Sus scrofa: one gene and its partner. The protein of the gene in region 1 purifies or fractionates together with the protein of each later gene. This does not show direct contact. Links are inferred from orthologs where the notes say so. Each region holds a gene or a part of one and is shown on either strand. Other genes may lie near its edges. The genes, in order: GNB5 and GNG2.

Evidence for each region.
Region 2: the proteins of GNB5 (region 1) and GNG2 purify together in Homo sapiens (affinity purification with western blotting; 4 studies listed by BioGRID and IntAct, with this or other methods). This does not show direct contact. The link is inferred for Sus scrofa from reciprocal best matches to the Homo sapiens genes GNB5 and GNG2.

What each region holds. Positions count from the first base shown.
Region 1 is NC_010443.5:119,583,311-119,587,113, forward strand, and holds part of GNB5 (guanine nucleotide-binding protein subunit beta-5), read left to right. Parts: intron 1-1,412; coding exon 1,413-1,509; intron 1,510-2,518; coding exon 2,519-2,685; intron 2,686-3,803. UniProt on the Homo sapiens protein: Enhances GTPase-activating protein (GAP) activity of regulator of G protein signaling (RGS) proteins, such as RGS7 and RGS9, hence involved in the termination of the signaling initiated by the G protein coupled receptors (GPCRs) by accelerating the GTP hydrolysis on the G-alpha subunits, thereby promoting their inactivation.
Region 2 is NC_010443.5:181,514,569-181,519,053, forward strand, and holds the start of GNG2 (guanine nucleotide-binding protein G(I)/G(S)/G(O) subunit gamma-2), read left to right. Parts: upstream 1-1,526; 5' UTR 1,527-1,774; intron 1,775-4,485. UniProt on the Homo sapiens protein: Guanine nucleotide-binding proteins (G proteins) are involved as a modulator or transducer in various transmembrane signaling systems.

The DNA of each region.
Region 1 (3,803 bases):
GAGCAGTGCCAGATCTGAGTCGCATCTGCAACCTACACCACAGCTCACAGCAACGCCAGATCCTTAACCCACTGAGTGAGGCCAAGGATCAAACCGTGTCCTCACGGGTACTATTTGAGTTCATTACCGCTGAGCCACAATAGGAACTCCAGAAATGCAAGTTTAAATGATCAGATGCTTACTTGCCCCTTGGATTAGCTGAGAAATGCTCAGGGGTGGAGGTGGGGCAGTGAAGGAGCCTTGGGTGAGCCTCGGTAAGGCCCCTGGGTAACTGCCTTCTGCAGGGCAGTTTTGTGATGGGGATCAGGAGCTTTCAAAACTTCCCTATCCTTTGATCTGACCATGCTTTTCCTTGGAAACATTTCTATTCTAAGGATTCTATTCCTTAGGTATTATAAGGAAAATATAAGCAATGCAGATAAAGATTTTTATAGAAGAATGATCATGGCTTCCCCATAGTTTTATTTATTAAAGAGAAAAATTAGACACAGTCAAAACACTTAGCAGGGTACGGCTGTCTAGATTCTGATATATCCACATGGGAATGGAACAACCATGTTAATCATGGTTTGGTTTGGTTTTGTTTTAGATTAGAAGAGATTTATTGAATACACTGCTAAGGGAAGCTGTGGGAAGGCAGGACGAGAGAATTCATCTGCCCTGGGGTAGTGGTTTGGGCTCTTTTTGTAAGAGAACTGGCTTCAGACAGCTCTCTCTCCATTCCTACCAGGCAAATAAGGGATTAAAACATGGCTGTTTGGGCTGCTTATTGGTCAGTTGGAGGTTACCAAAGAGGCTTTTGTTATTTAGAATGGCTCCCACATTATCCCCAACAGATGGACAATGCCACATCTTTGGCATTTGGGTGAAGGTCTCATCTTCTGTAGCCGCTTCATGCTGAGCAGTAATTTTGGTTTTTTGAAGATTATTTAATGATATGAGAAAATGCTCATAATGTAATGCTAATGGAAGCAATAAGGAAACATCCACCTCACTGAAAAATACACCAAAAAAAATAGGAGAAGACTGAAGAAAATAGCCCAGGTAGTAATAAATACCTCTAGGATTTAAGGTAACTTTTATTTCCTTTAATGCATTTCTGAGTTTTTTTGAATTTTTTTTTTTACAGTGAACACATATTCTTTATCAGAAAAAAGAAAAAGAGGGCTTTCACTTTTGTTTTTGTACACAGAGCAATCTGTATTTGCTATTCCTTTGAATCTCTAATGATCCATAGAAATTAATAGGAATCCGGTTTGAGGGAGAAAACACCAGGAGAAAAAAATGAAAGCGATGTTCTACTTATCCCTCAAACCACACAAGCCTCCAGCACCTGTCTGTAGCTCTCTGGTCATTGGTGCACCATACAGGATCCAGAAACAGGTGCTTCTTTGTCTTCTTTGTCATCCCAGTGTCGCCTCTACGACCTCCGGGCAGACAGGGAGGTTGCCATCTATTCCAAGGAGAGTATCATCTTTGGAGCTTCCAGTGTGGACTTCTCCCTCAGCGGTAAGATTTTGCCTCAGAAATTTTCCCTCAGTGAAACCAGGCTCTCTCAAGCTTCCCCTCAGCTAGACCTCCTGGGGGGCCATGTGCCGAAGAGTCTTTTGTGCCGGTTTTCCTCCACTGCATTTTTGATGCCCTGCTTCACCCTGCCTGAGGTAGCTTCCCCAGCCCAGTTCACAACCCCAGGAAATGAAGGCTGGGCCCATCTGATGCTCTTCTTCAAGACAAACTTCTTTTGAAGACTGATTGTATCTTCTTTTGATACAATGATGCATCAAAACTCCATCTGCAGGACCTTTAGGCTTTTCCTGCCCAGCCTTCCATTTTTCCCTTCACACCTGAAAAAGGATTTTTTTCAGAGGTGGCAGGGGTGAAGCAAGAGTCCCTTTGTCTCTCTTTTTTAAAAATTTTATTCATTAAACAATTCTTGAATTATAGTATTGTGCTAGTTTCTTAATGCCCTGAAGCTCATGGTACCTCTGCCTTTATAGCTGGGGTGGCTGCCAATGAAAGTTAGGGCCACACTGATACGCTAGGTCACTGGACCATTCAGTTCTCCTGGATACCCTCCTGTTGTGCAACCATGCCTTTGTGCATGCATGCTGTGACCACTGCCTGGAACATCTTTTCCCTCCCTTCTCTCCATGGCAAACTTTTATTCAGCCCTCAAAGGCCAGCTCAGATGTCACTTCCCCTGCAGTGCCCTCCTAGATCCCTCCTCTTCCTCTGTGATTACATAGCACTTTACATACAGCTGAGCACTTCCACTACAGCCCTGACTACCTGCTGCTGCAATGATTTATGAGTGAGCCTGGGCCATCACCATCCTCCGCAGGTCTCCTTTCTCCTCTTTGAATTCCCAGGGTGAAGCACAATGCCTGGTACATAGTAGGCACTAAATCACTATTTACTGAATAGTGAATGAATGAATGAGCGAGCACATGAGTGAGAGTCATGAAAAGAAAAACAAGAGGGAACTGGCTTCATAACCATCATATCCTCCTGCTTTAAGGTCGCCTGCTGTTTGCTGGATACAATGATTATACCATCAATGTCTGGGATGTCCTCAAGGGATCCCGAGTCTCCATCCTGTTCGGACATGAAAACCGTGTTAGTACTCTACGAGTTTCCCCTGATGGGACTGCTTTTTGCTCAGGATCATGGGATCATACACTCAGGGTAAGAGACATGTTTTACTACTTTACCCTGTGTGTGAAAGCAGGAGTGATTGGCCTTCCTGAAAGCAGAGAGGTCTGTTTGACCTAGGCAGCCAAATAGAGCTCTGATTTCAATTCTGATAGCCCCAGAGGAATGATTTGACTGGGTGGGTAGTGAGTTCCCCATCAACGCAGGTATTTAAGCATAGATACCCCATAAGACTGATTCTCACCTTTGACAAATTAGATTATCATTCTCACCTCCCAGTGGTGCAGGGTTCTTATTCTGTGGTCACAGACCACTGTGAAGCCCACAGAGGGGCTTTCAGAGACCTATGAAGCCCTTGCAGTCATATGCCAAATTGTGTATGTGTGTGCATTTTTCAAAAAAAAAAAATGTCTTCATGGCTTTCATTACATTCTCAAAGAGTTCCAGGACTTTGTCAGATGTTGACTACTCAGAAATAATACCAAGATAACCTGTTCATCAAACAAAGCTTACCTCGCTATAGCAGATGGCACACTTGACAGTCTTATTAGCACTTCAGAAGGGGAGAGCAAAGGCAGATATTTATGAGGTTTTTAGGGGTCTGGTTTAAGGCAAGTCTTTTGATGGAGGGACTTCATTAGGACTGGACAAATTTATGGCATATTTTAAGATTGATAGACATAGAGTTGGGGGAGAGAGAGAATTTCAAAGACCGTCTTTAAAAATTACTTGAAAAACACATCTTGGAGTTGCCATTATGGCTCAGCAGGTTAAGAACCCGACTAATATCCATGAGAATGCAGGTTTGATCCCTGGACTCACTCAGTCCATGAGTGTAGTTTAAGTTGCAGATGTGACTTGGATCTGGCATTGCTGTGGCTCTGGCGTAGGCCAGCAGTTGCAGCTCCAATGGACCCCTAGCCTGGGAACTTCCATATGCCCTGGGTGCAACCATAAAAAGAAAAAAAAGTAGCCAGTCATCTGATGCTCTCTATTGTCCTTAGAGCTGAGTGCCTTTTTTCAAGAGGGTAATTGAGTGGTCTAATCTTAGGGTAAATACATAAAAGGATTTTTGCAAAGTTCCTGAAACAAACAATAAAGTTTGTTGTGACTTCATTGTCCTGGGCAAGAGTTTCCTAAATTTGTAAAGT
Region 2 (4,485 bases), about 62 Mb from region 1:
AGAGAGAGTGAGAGGGAGGGAGAGAGGATTAAAAAAAAAAAAAAAAAAAAAAAAGACATGTTTGAATCCAGAGTTAGTGCCAGCATCTGCTAGTTTAAAATTAACCAAAGATTTGTTTCCATAATCTTCCCAACCATTCATGATCGTGCTGCTTTTTTTTTAGACTTGATATCATATATGTGTAAATTTTCATTTAAAAGCTCCCAGTAACCTTTGGCACCAAGATTCCTGACTTGGAGGTAATTCATGTCTAATCTTCATTGGGTTGCAGGAAGCTGTGGGAACTATGCCCTATTCTCTCCCACCACTATAATTCTTGTTGTTCAAAAGTAGTCCCTCATTTTAAATCTTGAAAGAATCCATTTTGTAATTTTCTGACTTTAGTTAGTTGACATCAGGGTGCTTTTTGCTTAAAAAGTTCTAGGAAGAAAGAACCAAATTCTGTTCATGGAACATCAAATCAAAACAAAGGGTATCTTGTGGATTGTCTCAGATCATTTCATAGAAATTAGGAGTTCCCTGGTGGCTCAGCTGGTTAAGGGCCCTGTGTGTCACTGCTGTGACTTGGGTTGCTGCCCTGGCACAGGTTTGATCCCTGGCCACAGAACTTCTGCATCCTGTGAGTGTGGCCAAAAAAAAAAAAAAAAAAAAAAAAAATTTAAATTCTGTACCTTCCAGACTTAATGTGCTGTGGTCCCCAAGTGGGTAAGGAAGTCTTATCTGGCGACATCCTGGACAATATAGTTCTCCTGTATCCACTCCAGTTTTTCAACATTTTGTTAGTTTACTTGCTGGACAGTTAAGTCAAGGCTGGGTGCAAAAGTGGAGTTGGGAATTAACTCTGTTGCCCCAGAAGATTAGCTTTCCAGACACTGATTTCTGAGAAGAGGTTTCTTAATGGTGTTCCCAGGACATTAGAAAGATTCCCCCTCCCCTCCCCTCCCCTCCCCTCCCCTCCCCTCAGCCCCTGTTGAATCTACAGCTTCCCCAAAGCACCTTGTGTTCATGGTGGAGGAGAATGAGTCACAAGCTGAATAAATTCAGAGCCCTGAGAGCCCTGAGGTTTAGGGGTGGATATACTAACTGTGGGGAATTGGGAAACTAAGTACAGGTCCTGGTGTGGCTGCTGACTGCCAAAGTTACTCACTGTCTCTGAGACTCAAGGTCCTCTAAAAATAAGAGCTGCTGTGTATTGAACACGTCCTGTGTTTTCAGGAATGATGATTATTCTGTGCACCATTTCACTTAATCCTCTGGGGTCTGCTGTGGCATATGACTATAATGGCCCCCATTTTGCAGATGAGGAAATCGAGGCATGGAGAAGTTGAAGGAAGGAGGAGATGGCACCAAAGGGACTTGGAACAAAGAGGGGAAGGGGATTCTAGTCACATGGGTGTCAGCTGCCCAAGGCAAGGGAAAAGGGCTCCAGGGAGCTCTGAAATGGAACGAGAGGGAAAGAAGCAAGCAGCTCGCAGCTCGCAAGAGGAGGAAGTGGGAGATGCGCCGCTTCCTGTAGAAAGACGGATGATTGAAGACAAAGCTGGGTGGGGACTAGTCCCTGGGCTGCGGGCGCTGCTGCTACACATACACACACGAGCGCGCGCGCACACACACGTTCGCGCGCGCACACACACACACTCCCCGTGCTGCGCGCCGTGGGCAGCTCCTACTACTGCGGGGTTGGGCTGGGCTGGCTGCGCTGGAGCTGTGCTGCACACAGCGGCTCGGGGAGGGCAGGAAAGCCACTCTGCTCGGACCAGCCTCGGGAGCCAAGGTAAAGGAAAAGCTTTTCATGTTGCTCCTCGTTGAGTGAGAAAATGATCACCGCCTGCGGTTTTCAGGGCAGATTTCGAAGGGAAGATAGGCACAGTGTTCGGGGATGAGGGAAAAGGGTCAGGGTGGGTTCTGTTAGGAGGGCTTCTGAGAATGACCAAATGTATGACACCTTTGTTTTATTAAAAAAATAACCCTCATTATGTGCTTAGCTTCAGTGACTCATCAGGAAAACAATTAAATGTTTGCATAGTTCTCTTGGAAGAAAAGCAGAGCCCAGTTGAAATCAATTGGGGCTGTGGAGCTGTGGGCTGATCATCTGAGCGTTGCAGTCCTGTTTGAGGGGTGTAAGTGGTGTAAAATGTTCACTGCATTTTCTTTCTTACACACTCCCCGGGGGGAAGCTTCTGTCTTGCAGCAGAAAGACTGTGATTTGGCTTTTGTTGTTGCTGTTAAATCCTTTTATACTCCGATTTTGCCAACAAAGCCTGAAATTGCGTATCTGAGGGGCAGTATTTATCATTAAAAACTGGTACCGCTGCTTTCAGGATAACCTCAGAAACAGCTATCGTTTGCCAACCGGTCTTATCCTAAAGTTGCATCCTTTCTCAAAGGTGTGTGGTGGGTTTAACTTGTCCAGAATCATACTGGTGTATATATGGATTTTATGTTTATGAAGGTTTTATTCATCTCTCGGTCAAGGTGCATATTAGCCTCAGGGACGGACAGCATATGAAAGTGTTGCCGCGTTGCTTTCTCACCTGCATTGGCTGTGGCTGGATGAAATAGTGAAATCAGAATGTGATTTTTATTGTGTGATTTTTCTTAAACAATGAGTCTTCTTGAGGGTCTCTGGCCAAGGCTGTTCATATTTGTGAATGGTATATACAAGTACAATAAATAGGTCTAACAGATTAGCAATGAGATTGTGAGATTCCTTTGGCAGGATACGTATGAAAAGGAATCGAATATGCTAGCATAGCCTGATTTAGAAAATTAAGCTTCATCTCCAACAGAAAGTGCGGTTAAGCAATAAATGATCATTGATAGAAGGTTTTGTCTTGCATTTTTACAGTGAAAGGAGATATGTTTTTCAAAGGAAAGAAAGAACCACTTACAGTGGAGTAAAAATAATAAAAAGGTCATATTTAGACACTCATACATTCTTAAGATGTAGGTTTTAAACACAATTATGCCAGGGGGAGTGTACATGCTCCCTCATTTATCATCATTCTCAATTGTGAAGAGCCATAGTGGTTTTTTTAATATCATTTTTCTGAAATTTATTTGGCTTCTCCAGATTTGGGGGATAGGTAGTAGCACATTTTCAGAGATAAGAATCTTTAGATACTAACGAAAGAAAAAAAAGTCGAATTTTCTGAGCTTACTTATGAAACTGAACCTCTGCCGATGACTAAGAGGTGAAATATTGCTGGTGTTGAAACCATGGAGCGCCCCTGACAGATGCACCGAATTTAAAAAAACCTGTGGGCAAAACAAGTCACGCCACGCATTCCACAGTTCCGGTTCCCGTATGTCTCCTAGAGCAAAATATGTATAAAAGATCGTTTTCCTCTAAAGGAGCTCTCACGTGGGTATTGGACCCAGAATGCCCCTCACTGGAGCTCTGCGATCAAGCTGTTTGGCATTAAATGAAATGGGAACTTGGGAGTCTGGGCTGTATCAATGAGGATGGGGCTCAGCCCGTGGTACTTACTCATCCCCAGGCTGGATTCACTAGATGATGCCAACACCCTGCTTTGTGTGGGGATGCGTAGACAGTCTGCCTTACTCCTCTCTGTGTGTTTCACTAAAAGAGTAAGAAAACGAAACCTTGGCTCATAGGCATAGGGGAGCCTTGAAGCCCCCTGCTCTCTTTTAGAAAACATCTGAGATGCCAGTTATCTGCACAGTCCAAAACATTTCCTTAATTGTGAAATTCCAGCTTGAAGCACAGCATGAATGAGTAACAGCAGATCAGTAACTAAGATGGTAGGAGGTTTAAACAAAAGATGAAAAAGCCCCTATCCTGTAAAATGGGACGATTTCCACTTATTCTGGCCATATGGAATATTGAAAGACATACTGCTTTTGTCCAGGGTATTGGGTGGCTTTTGAGGGAGTCAAGCAACACTGAAATTTTAATTGTGTGTTGTTTTTTTTTTTTTTTCCTGCCATATGGTCAATGGCTGAGTAGAAACATGACTCCATGATTTCCTGGCCAGTCGTGGGCTTCATGGTGGGCACACAGGGAAGGTGTTGGGATGACTGACTTTTTTAGCCTACTTCAGAAGGCAGGCCCGACTTTTAAGTATAAAAACTCTACAAGCCTCTTCAAAGACAACTCTGGGTAAAAGAAAACAGCATGGAGATGGGAAAAGAACGCAGTCAGGCAGATCTGCTTTTAAATCCTATCACTAGTTCTTACTCCTTGACCTGGTACATTGACTGATCTTCACTGTAAAGAGGGGTTAATAATACATAATTAGGGTATTATTCATTGTCTTTGGTTTGGTTTGTTGTATTTTATTTGGTCTTTGCTTTTGTGTGTGGATATGTGAGTGTCCTCCTTGTCCATAGTAGGTACTCAGATGTCATTTTTTTTTCTCCTGCTTGGTGTCAAGAAAAGTTAGCATATTCTTTGTCTTTGCCATTGTCTTAAAGGTCCCAGGAGACATGTTTTTTTATGGTAATAATAAAATGTATATAACA